Linked DNA regions of Saccharomyces cerevisiae S288C. Changing the gene in region 4 together with the main gene of any one other region gives a genetic interaction. Each region holds a gene or a part of one and is shown on either strand. Other genes may lie near its edges.

Region 1 (4,128 bases), on a different chromosome or scaffold from region 4:
TGAGATGGGCCACAGCAATAACAACAGCAACAGCGCCATCAACATGAATGAACCCAAGTCTGCGGATACATACATTGGAAATATATCTCCGGATACTTCAGCAACTGTTTCATTAGGCGACCTGATGGGCTCAAACGTTTCAAACAACAGTGAAAGAAATTTTTACGATGGTCATACTTTCGTTCCACAGTATCAGGCGAACTCATCTGTGGAAAACTCAAATAATCAAAATGCAGCACCAATTGCAAATAACGACATTGATAATAATTTACAGTCTTTTTATTTTGATAATAGCAACTAAAAAAGGAATGAAAAAAAAAAAAAAAAGTTCAAAAATAGTAACAGATATCTTTCGAAAAAGTTAAAAACTGGTAAAAAATTTTGAATAGAGTATATAAAAACTAATAAATATGTTTAGTTATCATACACCATAGAATAACTACTAGAGATATTATTTCATTTTCGTTTTCATTTTTTTTATTTTTTTCTTTTCAATAAGGTAACAGAAAGTTATTTATGCATTCTTGTTCTACATGTCTTATGTATACTAATAAGCTACTACAGGTATTTTGGTAGTATGGCTTTTAAATGAGTTATTAATTCTTGATCAGTCCCTGTAGGATTATCAAACTGCCACCTAATCGCTTCGTTATTAATTTTACCCAGCCATGGACCTGGCTTCATTTGAAGTAGTTTTGCCATTTGTTTTCCGTCCACTATTGGTTTTAGTTCATGACAATTATTCAAATTATTGTCAAATATGTAAGAATAAAATTCATTGTAATTTTGGAAAAGTAATTCAATTTTTTTAGTTTCAAGCTTGGGAATCTTTAAAAATGCATCTGATAGAGATGCAAAATGTGCTGTTTCCCATTCGCCATTAAAGTTCCGTAGAAATATACCGATTTCGGATTTTTTTAGCTGGGAACGATCTGCAAACTTAGCAAGTATTTCCTCATATGAACATATTGAATCTACGGTCTTGGCAATAACTGCTGCATCATTTTTACTCAGCTTCAATCCTTCCTTCACAATGCTTTCTGTCACCGAAACCAGGTTGTTAATTTTCTTCTTTGGGTTCCCGATTATTTGTAAATTAGCCATGGGGGACAGGATCGCACTCAATATAAAATTTTGCTGAAATCCTGGCGAACGACCAATTTTTTCCCTTAAGATAGGAAGCTTCTCTAAAAACATTGGATATAATTCAATAAAACTTTTCAAGTGTGAGTTTAGTATGTTATCATTGTATACATGATTAATTTTGTCCATATCTTGACAATTCTCTTCGTTGAATTTTACGACGGAGCTATCATTATGCCAAAAAAAGATAACATTTTCAAGATGAGCCCTTTGAATCAGCTGCAAAGCCAATAAAGGGGTTGGTCCTACTAATATTTTCTCCATCTCCACACCAACTCGCTCTCTAGAAATTTTTGAATTGAATGCAACATTAATCTGAGGATCGCCCATTTCAGCCATCACTTCCGGATCTATGGTAAAGTTGAATCTAGAAGCAAAACGGATCAACCTCAAAACCCTCAAGGGATCATCCAAAAATGTTTGTTTTGCAGGAAGCGGAGTACGGAGAACGCCATCTTTTAGATCTTGCAGACCTCTCTTGGTGAAATCTTCCACTTCACCTTTATGAATGTTATAGAAAAGAGCGTTCAATGTAGCATCCCTTCTTAAAGCGTCTTCCTCGGGTGTGCCAAAGCACACTTTAGGTATCCTGGAAAGTTCAGTATACTTTTCAGATCTTAAATTGACAAAATCCACTTCAACGCCAAAGAGCTTAGTAGTGGCAGTTTCCAGATGCTTGGATTTCTCGGGATTCTTGTCAATCTTGTGGATATTATGAGGCTTGGCTCCATATTTGGCGTAATGTTGTTGCAAATACTCGTTCAAACCAGTAGCAAATTGCTCACCTGACATCACATTGATGGCAATATCCAAGTCGTGAGAACCTTGTCCCAGAAGCTTGTCACGCACCCATCCGCCCGTGATCCGAAGAGTCAATGGCTCAGGCTTATTGTGGTACTTTTGATTGTACAAGTCTGTATAATCGTTCAGCAAGTTACAGATGTTCTGTTCCACTTTGGTTAAGGTGATTTTGGGTGCATTTAGAACAAAATTAGAATTCGTCATCGTTTTCTGAGCAGCACTATTCATCAGTAGAGATATAGTAGACCGTAGCATACACAAAAAAAGCCCTTATAACCCACGGATACGAATTAATCTCGAGGGAAGCGTTGCGATGTATTATGTAGTTTCCTTTAGTACATTGTTAATATGGTAGATTTTTGCGATTCATTTTTCAACTTTTCAACCCTAACGAATGTTTTTTAGGGCTGAGTAACGACAAGAACACAACCCTAAAAATCAGATGACCTAAGGGTTTGGTGAATCGAGAAAGTATGCCCTATTTCCCCCGCCCATACACCCCATAAGCCTTAACCGCAGCCCTCCTCTCCCCTAAACGTTTCTTTTTCTTTTTCCATTTTTTTTTTTTTTTTAGTTTTACTTTCTTTTTATTCGGAAAAATCTTTTCTATATTTTTCAAGGGTAACCTCATCGCCATGCAATTAATCACATAGACTCCTTAAGTAACAATGGCAAGGCGATAATTTTAAGAGAATTGCAGACGCTGTACATAGATCGTTATCAGCAAAACATATATTCGCATCGAAGGCGTTGCTTGTCCCTGAAGTAGCTACTTGCGGTTTTCATCAAGCGGCCAATTTAATCATTCTATCAGCATTATTTTAAAATAGGGGGACTTAACCTTTCTATTAGTACCACTTATTTTATAGATCTGCTGGAGAAAAATAAACAGATAAAAAAAAGGGAAAAAAAGAATAAGACTGTCTTGGTGAGGATATTCAGTTGCGTGAAATCATGACGAAACTAATCGCTCCTTCAGAAATCGTGGGCGGAGTGCCCGTCTTCAAACCCACATACGAGCAATTCGAAGATTTCTATGCATACTGCAAGGCCATAAACAAATATGGCATGAAAAGTGGTGTTGTGAAAGTAATCCCACCTAAAGAATGGAAAGACAAATTAGATCTGCCTTATTCTGCGGAAACGCTCCAAAAGATCAAGATTAAATCACCTATTCAGCAGCATATTTCTGGTAATAAAGGTCTTTTTATGGTGCAGAACGTGGAGAAAAACAAGACCTATAACATTATACAGTGGAAAGATCTTTCTAAGGACTATGTGCCTCCGGAGGATCCTAAAGCAAGACGTAATTCTAGGAAAGGCTCCGTTTCCAAATCCACGAAGTTGAAACTGAAAAATTTTGAATCGTCTTTTAATATTGATGATTTTGAACAGTTCAGGACGGAGTATACAATAGATTTATCTGACTTCCAAAATACGGAGAGATTAAAGTTCTTGGAAGAGTATTATTGGAAAACGCTAAATTTTACTACGCCTATGTACGGCGCAGATACACCAGGATCAATCTTTCCTGAAGGGCTGAACGTTTGGAATGTTGCCAAACTACCGAACATCTTGGACCATATGGAAACAAAGGTTCCTGGGGTGAATGACTCCTATCTATACGCTGGTCTATGGAAGGCTTCTTTTTCTTGGCACTTGGAAGATCAGGACCTGTATTCCATAAATTATATTCATTTCGGTGCCCCAAAACAGTGGTATTCGATACCGCAAGAGGATAGGTTCAAATTCTACAAATTCATGCAGGAGCAATTTCCCGAAGAAGCCAAAAATTGTCCTGAATTTTTAAGACATAAAATGTTTTTGGCTTCGCCCAAACTGCTGCAGGAAAATGGCATACGATGCAATGAAATTGTCCACCATGAAGGCGAATTCATGATCACTTATCCCTATGGTTACCATGCAGGGTTCAATTATGGATATAACTTGGCAGAATCCGTCAACTTTGCTTTGGAGGAGTGGCTACCGATTGGGAAGAAAGCTGGAAAATGCCACTGCATTTCAGACTCAGTGGAAATAGATGTTAAGAAACTCGCTAAATCTTGGAGGGACAATAATAAAGAGTCGAAAGGAACGCCACCCCTCAATCAATTACCCAATCCTGCCATGCCCTTACTTCACAGGCCAACTTTAAAAGAAATGGAAAGCAGCTCGCTTAGATCT
Region 2 (6,715 bases), on a different chromosome or scaffold from region 4:
GGTATGTGATATTCTAAAGCGTAGCGAATAACAGTTAATGTAAGTGGTAATTAATAATTGTGTACAATAGTATGATATAGTTAGCTGAAAAAAGAAACAGTAAAAAGTTTGAATTGATTGTATTATTTTATTTAACAAAGTTAATATCCAAACCTTTTTTTTCGGCAGTTCTCATACATAAAAATAAAAAAATTTGCATCAAGAACTTTTACTAGAGTGTAGACGAATAGTGACAATTAGTACCATGAATATAATTACTGCCGATTGCAAGGCTTCTTGGGGTCTTCATTATTTAGTTTGAGGTATTGTTTATTTGACCTCCATGCTCCTTACAATTGACGTTGTTCTGTCCACACCATGAAAAATATTTAAAGGGCACGAAATGTTAAACTAGCCACAGTATATTGTGTCAAGAAAGAAAAATAATTCTATAAGTACGGTGATGGAGGTAGAAAATGGGCTTCTGAGTGATTGATATGTAAGAAACCCAACATACAATGCGTGAACAATTTCGTTCGTTTAAAAAGACCTACCTACTTGTCTTCGCTGCGTGCAGCTGCTAAATCGGACTCGTGAGAAGCACTACGCGCTGGCAAAGCGTCTGGAATATTGCTAGCACCAAGTAGGTCTGTCCGCAACGTATGCTCTTGTTGAGATGTGTCAACATCTTCTTGCTCAATTTCAGAATTACTACCTTGACCTCTGAAACTGGATAAATCGTTGGAATCTTCATGGAAGCCATCTGGTTCATCTGAAAGCTGATCATGAAGCAGCGAAGAGTAAGTGGCACCTTTTTTGTTGCCAAACCTTGCCCTAAATTTTGAAGAAAGTTGCGCTGTACCTGCCTTCGCGCGTTGAAACGCAGACTTGGTGATTAAAGAAATGCATAATCCTAGTCTTACAATGATGTTGACAACTCTATCGGTCCTATTGTTTTCTATCAGCCCATCGTCTCCTAATCTGATTTCTTCAAATCTTGAAAATCCCCCATTTCTCCTGATACCTCTATCGTATACAAACCATGCGACAAAGAAAATAACGAGAAGAATTGTAACAAAAACCAGCGCATAAGCGCCGGTGTTTATAGAGTATTTTTCCCTGAATGCCTTTTCTTTTCCCGGACAAGGATGTGGTGCTAAATGTGCATCCAATTTCAGCCCACCTTTACAGGTTGATAAGGGAATTTTCCGATAGCCGGAGGAATCATAGTATTCAATTAAGTCGGGTTCCTTTTTGCAGATATCGGCACCATTCGCCGAACTTAAGCCTTTGACTAATTTACAAGTACCATCACTGGCTTTATAAAAATTATAGTCACATTCGAAATCTTGTCTTGTACATGGACAGTTTTTGACGTTCCTCGAAAATTCAGAAAGTGGAATATTCCCAATAAAACATTTTTCATCGGTTTTACGTAAAAATTCTGTTTTATGGCCAAACAAACAACCAGTTCTGGAACCCAGAGGAGAGTACTTAAAATCTGCCCTTTTTCTACCGGTAATATCAAACTCACATTGCCTCTCGAAGATGTTTCTAAAATCAATTGTATACGTTCTGAATGAACCACTACCCATGTTTTTTGCTTCTCCAAATAGCAAAAACCTCAAAGCAGAATCTCTGGGAACGGTGATTATATCCTTTACGAGGACTTTGTCGCCACAGAATTTATAATCTTTCCATGTTTTACCAAAATCGGTGGAGTAAGAAATAGAATCAGTTTCTGCGTTTTCGGGGACCAAAACCAAGACTCCACCATGATCACCGTACTCCCATTGATGGGGGCCTTTTTTAACCTCAGTCCACGTCTCTCCTCCATCAGTGGTTAGAAAAGTGGAACACTCCTCATATGGTAGAAGCCTATCGCCAACATTTCCGACACCAAACATCATTCCTAACGCGGAGCCAGAGGAATATGTATCCCTGATATCCTTACGTTCAGTGTAACCATGCAAATGTAGAGAACATTTATCTAATGACACAGAATCACAGGGAAACTTTTTCCCTTCCGAATCCTTCTTTGGAGGCTTCAAAAAGTTCCAATCTGAACCGTCATTGAAGGTGATTTTCGTCTTCAATTGTTCGTCTTCCTTGTTCTCGCCAACCTTTTCGCTATTCGAAACGATGTTGGTGATAATAATACCTTCAAGACCTTGAACTTTTTCAAAGTCCACATAACCGAATGTGTTTCTATTAACGGCATGCTCTAAGGTGACAAAAGAAGTACCATTCGAGTTGGATTTCAAAAGGTTTCCGAAATCGTGTCCTGATTCCAAGTTTGTTGCTAAATGTAAAAATATTGATCCTTCCTCAGATCCTAAAATAGTGAATGCGTCTTGCTTACCAATATCTTCATCATATGGGAATTTTGCCTCGGTAAACTCAGCACCATCATTAGTTACATACGCCCTCAATTCATTGTCTTCATGAGGTACGGCAACAATGATATAGCCACCAGTAGACAAGTAGCCGATAATGTTTTCAAAGACAGTTTTTCTATCATCTTGGAAAAAGTCAGTAGAAGAAACTAAACTTCTTGTTTGCGAAAACTTTTCCTTTACTTGGCACATAACCATATCGTCATTTGACGGATATTTGAATAGTGTTCCTGCAAACTCACAATGAATTGCATTATCAAGCATTTCTGTAAAAGTTTCACCCCCATCTTTGGTGAGGTATGCCACTGCATGACATTCTGGACTTAAAATTGATTCACAATTCTTACCACCATAGTAAATAAAAGTATCCTGTGCTTTAGCACTAAAATCTAGTGGCATGCCTAATTGCCTGGCTTCAGGTAATTTAGCTATCATGAAAGAGTATCCTCTATCGTGTGTTAAGAATATGTTACCTTTAGAGCCAAACAAATATGCTGAAGAATTGAAGTATGGGTTAAACACGATTTCGACAATTTTTTCGCCGTCAGTGTCAAACCTTTTTATCGTTTGTCCACCATCGTGGGATATATAGGCGTCTCCTATCGAATTCAGCATGACCAAAGATTCGTCGGCAACTGTATCGAAGTATTGGTAAAATTTAATTTCAAAGTCGAATTTGTTTTCAGTAGTCACTATTTCCTTGTCACTCGAACCCTCCTTTGGAATTTCGTCACACGGAATGTCTACGGATTCAATTTTCATAGGTGTTTTACATTTATCACCTTTGATTAATTGTAGTGGCTTTACTAACACAGATTTACCCTTCGATTTGTCACATATATCGGAAAGGGCAATCAGATTATAATCTGGTATACAGTCACCCTTCGCATCTCTAACGAATTCAAACGAACATTCGTAGTCGGATCCAGTACAACTGTTACAAGGCGTTTCATCTAAACTCAAATCTTTGAATGCTTTTTTTACCAAACACTGGGCGTCCTGTTTCCTCCTTCTGTACTTGTATTTGGCGCCATTAACACATTTTCCATCTGCTAGATTCCAATCTTCAAAATCACCCTCTTCACATGATTTATAATCAAATACCGCTGAAAAATCAATTGAATATGTAATGAATATTGGATCTTCTGTAATGGACGTTCCTGTTAGAATAAATTTTGAACCAGATCCATCTGATATTGTGCTGACTAATCTGTATGGATAAATAGGCATGATTAGATCATATTCACCCCATGTCTTACCTTGATCCAAGGAATAATAAAATTTAGAAGGCACATCGCCATTTTCATTCGAACGATATGGAATATACATGATAATATTTCCCAGATCACCAGTAGTATATAAACCAGTGGAATTATGGACTAACCTCCATGTTAAACCACTATCCCTGGAGATGAAAGTTTTTTCTTCTTTCCAATTGTATGCACTGCCGTCGCCAACAATACCCGATATCATCATGATTCCGGCAGAGGGATTTAAATTTCTTAGATCATAGAAATGAGTCTGAAGCGAACATCTCTCGGGTTTAGTGACATCACAACCAAATAAATCTACATTTTCCCGGTCAACAACTTTCAAGTTTGTCCATGTGAGACCGTTATCAACAGATACTTTAGTTTCCTCTCTTACTTTCTGTCGGCTGTATTTCCTTTTTCTATCAGAATATTCAATGAAGGGATGAAACGAACCAAAAAATGTTCCTTTTAAGAAACCTGGATAAGCTACATTGATATATCCAAACTGATTGTTTGGTATCCAATTTATAGGCAAAAATTTTAGTCCTTCAGAATCTGATATTAACACTTCAGCAGCTCCCGGTTGGTTGCTGTCTTCATCATCTCTTTCTCTAGATACAGGTAAAACGATTCTTCCGATGGAATCTTCATGAATTTGTCCCATATTAACGTGCCGTATCTTAGTAGGTGTACGAGCCACTTGAAAAGTGGATACATCATTGGATATCCAAATGTTTGTTGATGACATTTCATTATACATATCATCTTGTGTCAAAACGATCACATGATGCTTAAGTATCTCGTATCGACTAACAACCTTATCTTTGAACTGGACTAATTCTTTGAATGTTTCACCTCCATCGGCACTTAAAATCAATTCAGACTTGTCAATAGTTGAGCCTGTACTTTCAATGTACTCAGTGTTTCGGAAAAGACAGAGTATCGAAGCATCATTACCGCCCAGATCAGAATCCTCACTAGATTTAATAAAGTCACAGCGTGCCGTGCTAATATGACCATCAATTTTTCCAAAAGAAGGTTTAACTTGGGAAAAGGATACTCCATCATTAGTTGTGTAAATCTCTCTTCCAACATACATTAAGCCTGAGTTTTTTATTGTCAACAAATCACAACGAATAATAAGATGCTTCTTTTTTATAGGGTGAGTAGTTACGTCGCAAAAATAATTCGATGCTTTCTCAGAAATGGGTATAGTCAAAGGCCTCCACGATTTACCTTGATCATCCGTGACGTAAAATTTTGGTGCCGTTTTCACGAAAGCAAAAGCTCTATCATGCCCACGGAAGGGATCAACAACAAATGACTCGATAGGCTCTTCAATCTCATCTATTGTTTTCCAATTTTCTCCAGCATCAAAACTTATCTCGACAGAGTCTTCTTCTGCTCTGATCAAAGTGTTTGAATCATCAAAGTTTACTATATCGAATACATATCTTGACAAAGTTCTGGTAACCTTGGGGGTGAATTCTTCTGCATTGGACAGTGGAATGAGTAGGAATACCCAAATAATATACAGGGCACGAAACAATGCCATTATGGGTGTACCTCTACCTTTAATATCGCTATGAAGCTTTTTTCAGGTCTCGAGACCCTGCGTTGCGACCCAACTGACAAAAAAAAGAAAGCGGACGGGATATATATATATATATATATATATATATAATTGACGCAAAGGGTTGCAACATTGTCTTGAGAGCACTGAGCCACGAATTTTGCATTCCTTGAGATTCGGTGACTTTGGTTCGAAGATGTTCGCTTCTTGGTCAACCATCAAGATAGTATGGTGATCATATGTTCGCTAAAGCCAATAAATATGATTGCAAAATCAGAAAATGGTATTTTGGGTTACTAGGGTCACCAGGAATACAGTGCAACTTATAACTCTGACGGTGATGAATTTGATAATAAATTCAAACGAAGAATTGTTCTTGAGGTGCTATCACCTTGAGCAGTTTTCGGAAGAACGAATTTCAAGGAATGATTTTTTTTTTTTCATTATATTCAGTTGATGCTGCTCAATACGACGTTAAACTGTCGTCATAGTGCGAATGCTGGCTAGATACGTCGGTTTCTTAGACTAAATCATATACGTCTTATTGAAATACGCCTACATAACTTATCCAACCTTGTCTCCTTTTCCAACGTTATGATTCCGGATCTAAGTATAATTTACTCAATAAAATGTGTATGAAGGAAGTGAAGACTCGACAGACCCGCTTACCAGATATTCTTTCTAAACAATAGGGTTTACCAGTACCCCTGAAAATGATAATGGACATGTGCGGCTGATCGCGTTAACTACGTATGCAGTTGAATCAAAGCCATACCACAGAAAATGGTACAAGAACCCACTGGATGGAATAGTGCTGGCTATCAAACTAATATTTTCTTTCCAGCTCTTGGGGGACCTCTACTGCATTATATCGTAGTTTCCGCTTAGTCTGTTTATCGCCTGGGAAAAAGGAGTGTAAGAAGCAGTCAAGTGCGGCGCAATCTTTCGGACAGCGAGCCGCCATTATAGGCGGGAATTCTTGAAGAGTATCGCTGGATATTATTGCAGTGTATTAAATTTCGTCAAGTCTTTGCCAATGGAAATGGGTGCGTAATTTTAGGTGCTTGGTACATATGAGTTCAAAACATATGTAGTAATTGGATAGTAGGTAGTAAGGACACATAATCATGGAAGGGTGACTCACAACGAATCACATAATGGGTTAGGATCGTAAACTTCTACGACTGCAGGCAACTCTCAGCACATGATTTCTTCTTCATTTTTTGGTATGGAAAAGGAACTGTATTTTTTTCTCATGGGTTTGGAAAAACAAAGAGCTCCTCTTTGATGGGGTTGATTGTCAGGCTTATTTGAATGAAACTTTGGTAGCCATTTGTTCTCAAAGGAATCTGTGTTGGCTGGGTTATTAAACGTGGAACTTTGGAAATACATCCAAGAGGCACAATTGAGCTCTAACGATGAGCCGTTACGATAAAGATAGAGACATTTCTTTTGACTTAGAAATTACAAGGAGTATCAACTATTAATATATTTTTCCTAGAAAACGTTTTTAG
Region 3 (3,916 bases), on a different chromosome or scaffold from region 4:
ACTATAGCCTAAAATGAAGCCTCCTCTGATGTGGGAGGGACCCCAATTTAGGTCAATAATGATTTTTTAAATTTATATTCTTGTCTTAATGAAACTTGAGTCAAGTCGACCAGTTTCCTGACGATTTTGATATAGAATAATATTGCTCGTTTGGCCGGCAACAGATTACATAAGAAGCAGATGGATGATATAAGCGGAAGGCAAACTTTACCTCGAATAAACCGTTTGTTGGAGCACGTGGGAAATCCCCAAGATAGTTTGTCAATCCTACATATAGCGGGAACAAATGGTAAGGAGACAGTATCTAAATTTTTGACATCCATATTGCAGCATCCGGGGCAACAGCGGCAAAGGGTCTTGATTGGTAGGTATACTACATCTTCCTTGCTAAACGCCAAAGAAGAGGATATTAGCATTAATAATGAAGCCATTTCCTTGATAGAGTATTCTAGGATCGAGAAGGAACTTATAGAAGCAGATAGTTCTTTGAAATTACAGTGCAACAACCTCGAACTGCTAACAAGCGTAGCTCTCGTATACTTCGCTAAGAAAAATTGCCAATGGTGCATAATAGAAACTGGTTTAGCTGGAAAACAGGACCCTGGAAGTATAATTGCTGGTCAAAGTAGAGTCTGTTGCGCCATTACTAACGTGGGCATTAGCGATGAAGCTTTTTTATGCAAGTTTTTGTCTCAAATTACTGAAAGTTCCACAAATAAAGCAATTTTTCTATTAGACGGTTCTAATGACGAATTTGTACGAAATACGATAACGAAACGGTGCCATGATGTTGGATGTCCATTAGAAATCACCGACCCTTCTCTTAGGGATTACAATGTACACACAGACACATGGGGCACTCTTGAAGTTCGCCTGCCATACAGTGAAGAAGAATATCAAATATTTAATTTGAGAGTTGCGATAGCGGTTTTAGACTTTTTGAGCAAGGAAAAAAAGGTTTGTATTTCAAAGGATCAACTATCCCAAGGTTTAATATCTGTGGATTGGCCAAGAAGTTTACATCGCTTGGATTACTGTTATGAATCTACTAGTGGAAAGAAAATCGCATTACTATTAGACAACGCAAATAATGCGAAGGCAGCTCGAAATTTAGCCTGCCATTTAAGGACCACGTACGGTGATACGCCATTAACATTTGTCATTGCTATAACAACTGGGAAAAAGGTGTCTCCCTTACTTGATCCGCTAATACGTCCACAAGATTATGTTATTGTGACTAGATTTGGGTCAGTGGTTGGAATGCCGTGGATCCAATCCCTAGAACCGGTGAATCTTCTCGCATTTATCAAAAACCGGTATACGAGAAATGTTAACATGCAGCCGGATCTTCAAAGTGTCTGGACCTTCCTTGAAACAAGTGGGTTAAAGACGATTGTTCCTGTTATCGTATGTGGATCACTGTATATCTGCAAAGAGCTATTGCGCTTACACAACTGTCACTTGCCAGTATAGTTTTTAGATATATGATCATATCCTACAATGCAATTACCGATATTGATAGAGGACCAGTCTGCCAAGGGCATCCGGGGATATATCATATTTTCCTTCTTTTATAACGGCATGTAACTTTACTTTTACTTTAAACTATGGCATTACATTCCAGCTTTTCAAGAGTTATTAGTGATTCATTACTTATAAAGTTTTTCCGACCACATTTTGATACTTTGTACCTGATATAGATAAAACAATTACCTTATAAATTGATTCTCTCATATTTATCTTGATGAGAAAACGATTGAGGAGATTTGTGTGTAATTTGGTTCTCGTAACAAATACCATTAAATAATCCTTGACTAGTAATACATACCAAACAAAGAACGATTTGCGGATACTCAGCCGCACGAAAATTTCTAAAATTGAACTAAATCCTTTAGGATATATAAAAGGGCACAAAGTGAGAACGTAAAAACAGCATTATAAAGATATTGTAATGAAGAAATTTATGCTCATTTAGTATGTGGAAATACCTTCATAGATCAGTCAAAAATGAAGGGACCGTAGAACGGCTCACTAACCTCAACTTATTTACCAATCACCGTTTCAAGTTTTATTCTACATTAAAGGAACAAAGTTTTTGGAGAATACCATTCAAAAGAAGGAGCAAATTACAGAAATGGGTGTTATCGACAGGCATCGTAAGTTTCATCGCTTTTAACATATGGTGGGTTTATTGGCCACATCATACTTTTCCCAAACCCGTTGCTAAAATATTAAGGAAGGGGTTACATTCAGAAATTAAGAAAGAAGGTGCGAACTACCAAAAAAGCCTTGAGTACTACCTCGAAGCTTTAGAAGAATGTAAAGCCGAAAACGTGGATCTACTTTCGGATGAATATACCGGTATTGAAATCAAAATCGGAGAAATGTATGAGAAATTACATATGTATAATGATGCTACAGCTTTATATGGAGACATGCTGAAAAAGTTCTATAATGAACTAAGCAAAACTACTGATAAGTCAACGAAGAGAAAATTCTTTTTGTTGAAAAGAGACCTTCAAATTTTGGTAAGGTTCAATGAAATAAATAAAGACTCTGAAACTAATGCAACGTTATTGATAATGCACCTTTTATTAGCTCAACGAGAATTTTTGGAGAACTCACCGGAGTTCAAAAATGTTCTTTCCAAATCAGAACTTTTAAACAACCAACAGCTTGACTGGAAGAATTTCAAGGGTCTACCATTTATTGGTAAATCCAAACCTGACTACCAAATGCATTTAAACTCTAAAAGAAAACAGGAGTTGAAGATAAAGGAACCTGAAAGCGAACAATGCGTTTTCATGAAAGAACTTCTGACTGCAAGAGATTTATATACTCGTTACTGTCTCAATCGGAGTAATCTTTCTGGGGCCTTGAATAGCAAAATAACAACACTAGAATGGATGTTACTAGCGGATAGTCCTCTGGACGACATCTTGCTTGCCCAGGCAGAGCTCGGGTCGATTTTTTATCTAAATTCAGAGAAGTTCGAAGGAAGTCTATACGCTATTGATAATGAACCGTACAAAAAATCAGAACCTTTAGAACTTATTCGGTCCAGGTTACAAGAAAACCAGAATTCCTGCTTACAGTACTCGGCTGACTGCTATAAAAGTATTATCAGCTTTGCCAATGAAAATCAATATCCAAAAGTTGCAATGGAAAGCGAAATGGATCAGAGAATACTTAAGGCATTATCCCTTGCTCACTACGGTATTGGTGTGATAAATTTGCATAAGGGACGCTTGAGGGCATCTAAGAAGGAACTTAAAAAGGCTATTCGTATTTCAGAGATGATTAGATTTAATGAACTCATTGAGGAAGCTCAACGTGAACTTAAAAAGGTTGATGGTACGCCTATATAAATCTTACATTTGTATATATATTCTTCTAAATTTTCATCAATATGTTGAAATGCCGAAAGATGTCGATTCCTCATTGGATATGGCGAATTTTACGTCACCGCCTCATGAACAAAAGTGAGAAAAATACATATATAGCGTCAAAATCAAAACAAATGATGAATTTACTTGCAAAGACTAAATGTGTAAGGGAATAGGTATCAGAACATTAAGTGAAGGCGCCGAAAGTAATATCAGTAATGCTTCGCACGATAATATTGAAAGCCGGGTCCAATGCCTCCATACCGTCACCTTCCCGCCAAAATAAGTTACTCAGGTTCTTCGCCACAGCCGGCGCAGTCTCTAGGACCAGTCCAGGAAGCATTAAGAAGATTTTCGACGACAATTCATATTGGAGAAATATTAATGGTCAGGATGCTAATAATAGCAAGATCTCACAATATCTTTTTAAAAAAAATAAAACCGGACTTTTCAAGAACCCTTATTTGACTTCTCCAGATGGTTTGCGTAAGTTTAGCCAGGTTTCTTTGCAGCAAGCACAAGAACTTCTC
Region 4 (4,335 bases):
TGTACACCTAATATTATAGCCTTTATCAACAATGGAATCCCAACAAGTCTCTCAAAATACACCCATTTCTCATAAACCAATTGTTCAGGCATTTATACGTTTAGATAGCCCAGCTATAGAAGGCGGAGTTTTACCTCATGTTGCTCAATCTGTTCGTTTTCTTAGGTTTCATATGTGTTCTATGAACGTTCAGGATAATGTATTGTCATGCTGACGTATCCCATTCTGAGATGTAACGTCTGTACAAAACAAAGCTTCAGTAGCTCAGTAGGAAGAGCGTCAGTCTCATAATCTGAAGGTCGAGAGTTCGAACCTCCCCTGGAGCATTTTTGCCGAGCACGGTACTTTTTTTTATTCTCAGTAAATGAAATCCAAGGGCTCATTTATTTGAGAAAGTAAATAAGGTATTAGAGGTAATAAAGTAACCATGGGCCAAGAAGACATATTCATAAACTTATGAAAAAACTTTGTAGGTATTAATAACTTATGGGTAAATTACTATCTATGAATGAATATTTACTATTTACTAGTGCTCATCTGGATATTAATTTAGACTTTTCAACGTCTCTCTTATAATATTTGTACATTTATTAACATCATCATCATTAAATCTAGGCTTGCCATCTTCTTCGAACATATCTTCGTCAGTAAACAGGGTGCTATCAGTAGGTTCTTTAATGTTATTATTTTCCACCAATTCCGTCAGTAAAGTTTCGTCAAAGTTTTTGGGAAACGGCCAGCCTTGGTCTTTTATTATCTGTATCAAAGCCATATGCCTGATTTCAAAGCCCCCGAAGAGTATCTTATTGTACCAGGAGCGTGCTCCTTTTTCGTCTCTCATTTTGACATAATGCATTACCATTGCAGAACAAAATTTAAACGTTAAAGGCACCCCATTTTTATGCATCACCTGTAGCAATTCTGATAGTTCAGCCTGCGTTAATGTATGATTTTTATAGGCTACTATGGAAAAGGGACATAGCGTGGTAGTTAAAACCACTTTTTTGGCGAAAGGTTGAGAATAAAAATCCAGAAGAACATTGTAGGCCAGCCTTGGTTCACGAGCTTGGAATCTAATATAATTTAGGAAAACATTGAGGATTCCGGTATCATTTCTCCAATACCTGTATTTATGAGCTTCCTCGGAAAGAAAACTCTTGTACTTGTAATATAAATCAAGAAGACAATTCTTGAATTGACCACTTTCCAGTGAAACAGAACTCGAAGATAAAAGGCTTCTATACAGTTCAGTTAAAATTGGAACAGTCACTGGTGATCCTATTCGCATTGTGTTCGGTAGAATATTATTTTTGTTCTTCAGCTCTCTTGCTAACGTAGGAGCTGTCAAAGTCGTTGATTTTGAATGATAGAGCCACCCCCAAATCCCTAGGGCATTCAGAATATTAGCAGACGCCTTTGAGCTGTATGATGAGAGGAGATATTTACACACCAATTTCGGGTCACGAAAGGCTTGAAAAGATGCAATTAATTCACCCATTAAAAACTCCTTGAACAATTTATATTTCATCAGTGGGCTGCTTTGTAAGCAGGAAATTACATTGAAAAGCTCCTCCTGCCTATTAGATATTCGGAGCAGATTCAAGTAGTGGTGAATGGGAAAATTCAATATGTGTTCGTTTCCATCAATGTGATTAAGCAATCCTGAGCTTACAATGAATTTCAGTTCCTCTTGAAAGGTTTTGATGAATAACTCAACATTTCCACTTTTCAAAAGGTAATAAAGTAAGGTATTGTTGAACTTGACATAACGCAGGTTCTTTTGCTTTGCTCCATCTTTACCAGAATAACAGTGCTGTTCCAACTTCTGTAGTAGAGCTTGAATAAATACTTTAATGAACCTAAAATTTTTCGCCTTAACAAGGCCATTTACTAGAGCGATTAAGCTGTCAAATGTATGCAACTTCAGAACTTTTTCCATTATAAATTTTATGTTTGTCTCATCATGCAAAAATATTTGGAACGTGGCTAACTGCCTCTCCATCTCAGTTCCTTTTATCAGCCTATTGGTAAATCTCGTACAGTAGTTAGAAGTAAAGAGAAGAACATCACTTTTCAAAAGAAAAAGATAGTGATTAAAAGATTCTGATTTTGGAATATGATACCAGAACCATCTGTGGACCTCACCTGGTAGATAAAATCCAATTTTTCTTGCCACCTCTGGGTATAACTCGTGTTGATGCAAAATGATATCATATAAAAGTTTCTTCTTTTCATTTTCTGAGCAATTATTTATATGCAGGGCATTTCGTAGAGATTCAAAAAAAGAGGCGTATTCAGTTACTCCAAAAGTCTCACTTAATACAGTTTTCAATTGTCGGAGCTCGTATAAACGCTTCTGAACATTTTTCGAAGATCCGCTCTTCCTAGAACATGGCACCTGTCGTTCAAAATCGCCAAACTGCAAAGGTTCTGAACGATTTGATTTAATTTTCAATGGACAGTTTTTCGTAGATAAATGGCGCAGATTTGTAATAGGTAGAATTGTGTATGTCCCTGCGCTACCCATATGTTTAAACAGCGGTGAAGTGACCATTTGAGCCAAAGGCTGGGAATAGACACGGCATATACATTTTAACATGCCAATAAGAACATTAAAGTGAACGCTTGGAAGATTTGAAAGCCCATTCTTGCCAGTACGCCAATAAAGTGTGTCGCGCAGAATAGATCTTCATGTAATTCCTTTTTCCCTTTTATGCAATCTATAATGTTAATCAGCGTAGATCACTATATACGCTTTTTTTTTTTTTTTTCAGCTCCGATTAGAGAGCAAAAGAGATGTAACATCGATCCTGCTATAATTAGAATACAAGTGTTGATCTTTAATTGTACTGTTTCTGCGAAAGCTATCGAGCATTTGGCTGTATTCCACTGTCCATTGTATTTTTAACTCTCCTTTTTATCATTCTGAAACATAGAGCTGTTTTGACAAAATTCAGTTTTTTCTCAATTAGTGCTTTCATTCATACGTTCGTTACAAGCTTTGAATTTTAACTTTATTTTCGGGCTTCCACCTTTGCTTCATTATTTTACTTCAGCTCTTTAGCTTTCTGTGACATTCAATTTTATTGTATGACAGCACGTCGTTTGATTAATATAGTTCCTAATACGTCTAAGCTAGACCCTTTAAAGGAGGAGGACTCAACGCATCTGAAACAAAATCAACCTAAGAAGTTTTCCACAAAGGAGTTGATGCTTTCAGAATATACCGAACGCAAAAGTTGCAGCCTTCCGTTGTCTAAATCCCGATCAGGCAGTAGTGCATCCAGTAGCACTACAGGTTCGAACGGAAAGAATATTGGAACAAGACGCCCTAGCTCCAACCTAGATTTCAATTTCGCTAGCCAAGATGTTGTTAAAAATGTATTAGGTAATAATAATCCACACGTACCCACAGCGAAGTGCATTAGGCCAATATCAGATGATTCTATAGGTACATCGAGCACAGAGATATTTTCTTCATCGCACTCAAATACGACATCTGATTCTTTATGTACATCAGATATAAGCTCAGAAGAGGGTGAAATAGCAAACAGTAAGATGGAGGATAACTGCTTCTTCAAAAGTATGAGAGAAGCTGACCATAGAAGCAATATTACGCCCTTAAAGAAAAGCCGACCGGGATCAATACTACAGAAAACACGTACAGCAAGTAGCGCTGATAAAACAATCTGCTCAATGAGTACCATAACTACATGCATTCCATCTCGTCAAAATTCGGTGTCAACTCCTAAACTCTCCAGGACAGTAGGGCTGCCTGGATCGAGCAATACAACCAACAGTATAGCCGCATCACAAACTTCATTCATAAGCGAGAATGACTCTCCTCTTAAACATCATTGCATGAGTACCGCAACTATCCAAGAACCAAAACTCATGCCGATCACAAAAACGCCGTATGTGCATTCCAATAGTACTTCTGTAATATTACCATATAAAACAACCCAACTTACTCCTTCTCAACGTTACCGTTTAAGGAAAGAGCAAAATGACCAATCTTTGCGTAAAGCCATAAAAATGAAAGAAAAATTTTATGAAGATCAAGACGTTAACTTGGAACTTCAAGAGGGCGATGTCGACGGCTCGTTAATTTGGAACATTCCAATGGCATCTTTATCGACCAGTTCTTTTTTAACATTATCTAAGTTTAATAGAAAAGAAATGAGTTTAGATTCAGCGCGGGGGGATGAAGAGATATTAATACAGGAGAACAATTGCGAAGGCAAACAACACTCATCTTCGGCTCTCTGTGTGGACAAAACTTTCCATCAGGTTCATAGTACTAGAAAACATACATCAAATTCAAGTAACACTTTA

What was found.
Region 1: mutations in ATP22 (region 4) and CCA1 together harm fitness more than expected from each alone (negative genetic interaction), as found in Saccharomyces cerevisiae (one large-scale study listed by BioGRID).
Region 2: mutations in ATP22 (region 4) and VTH1 together harm fitness more than expected from each alone (negative genetic interaction), as found in Saccharomyces cerevisiae (one large-scale study listed by BioGRID).
Region 3: mutations in ATP22 (region 4) and RCI50 together harm fitness more than expected from each alone (negative genetic interaction), as found in Saccharomyces cerevisiae (one large-scale study listed by BioGRID).

The regions. Positions count from the first base shown.
Region 1 is NC_001137.3:520,471-524,598, forward strand, and holds CCA1 (tRNA adenylyltransferase), read right to left. Parts: upstream 2,200-4,128; coding exon 559-2,199; downstream 1-558. Other genes in the region: BCK2 (Bck2p), read left to right, coding at 1-301; RPH1 (Rph1p), read left to right, coding at 2,899-4,128. UniProt on the Saccharomyces cerevisiae protein: Nucleotidyltransferase that catalyzes the addition and repair of the essential 3'-terminal CCA sequence in tRNAs, which is necessary for the attachment of amino acids to the 3' terminus of tRNA molecules, using CTP and ATP as substrates. tRNA 3'-terminal CCA addition is required both for tRNA processing and repair.
Region 2 is NC_001141.2:9,960-16,674, reverse strand, and holds VTH1 (signal sequence-binding protein), read right to left. Parts: upstream 5,184-6,715; coding exon 534-5,183; downstream 1-533. UniProt on the Saccharomyces cerevisiae protein: Functions as a sorting receptor in the Golgi compartment required for the intracellular sorting and delivery of soluble vacuolar proteins, like carboxypeptidase Y (CPY) and proteinase A.
Region 3 is NC_001143.9:191,131-195,046, reverse strand, and holds RCI50 (Rci50p), read left to right. Parts: upstream 1-1,976; coding exon 1,977-3,368; downstream 3,369-3,916. Other genes in the region: RMA1 (putative tetrahydrofolate synthase), read left to right, coding at 181-1,473; OCT1 (metalloendopeptidase), read left to right, coding at 3,605-3,916.
Region 4 is NC_001136.10:1,175,576-1,179,910, forward strand, and holds ATP22 (Atp22p), read right to left. Parts: upstream 2,600-4,335; coding exon 545-2,599; downstream 1-544. Other genes in the region: SBE2 (Sbe2p), read left to right, coding at 3,091-4,335. UniProt on the Saccharomyces cerevisiae protein: Translation factor specific for subunit 6 of the mitochondrial ATPase. Required for assembly of the CF(0) component of the ATPase.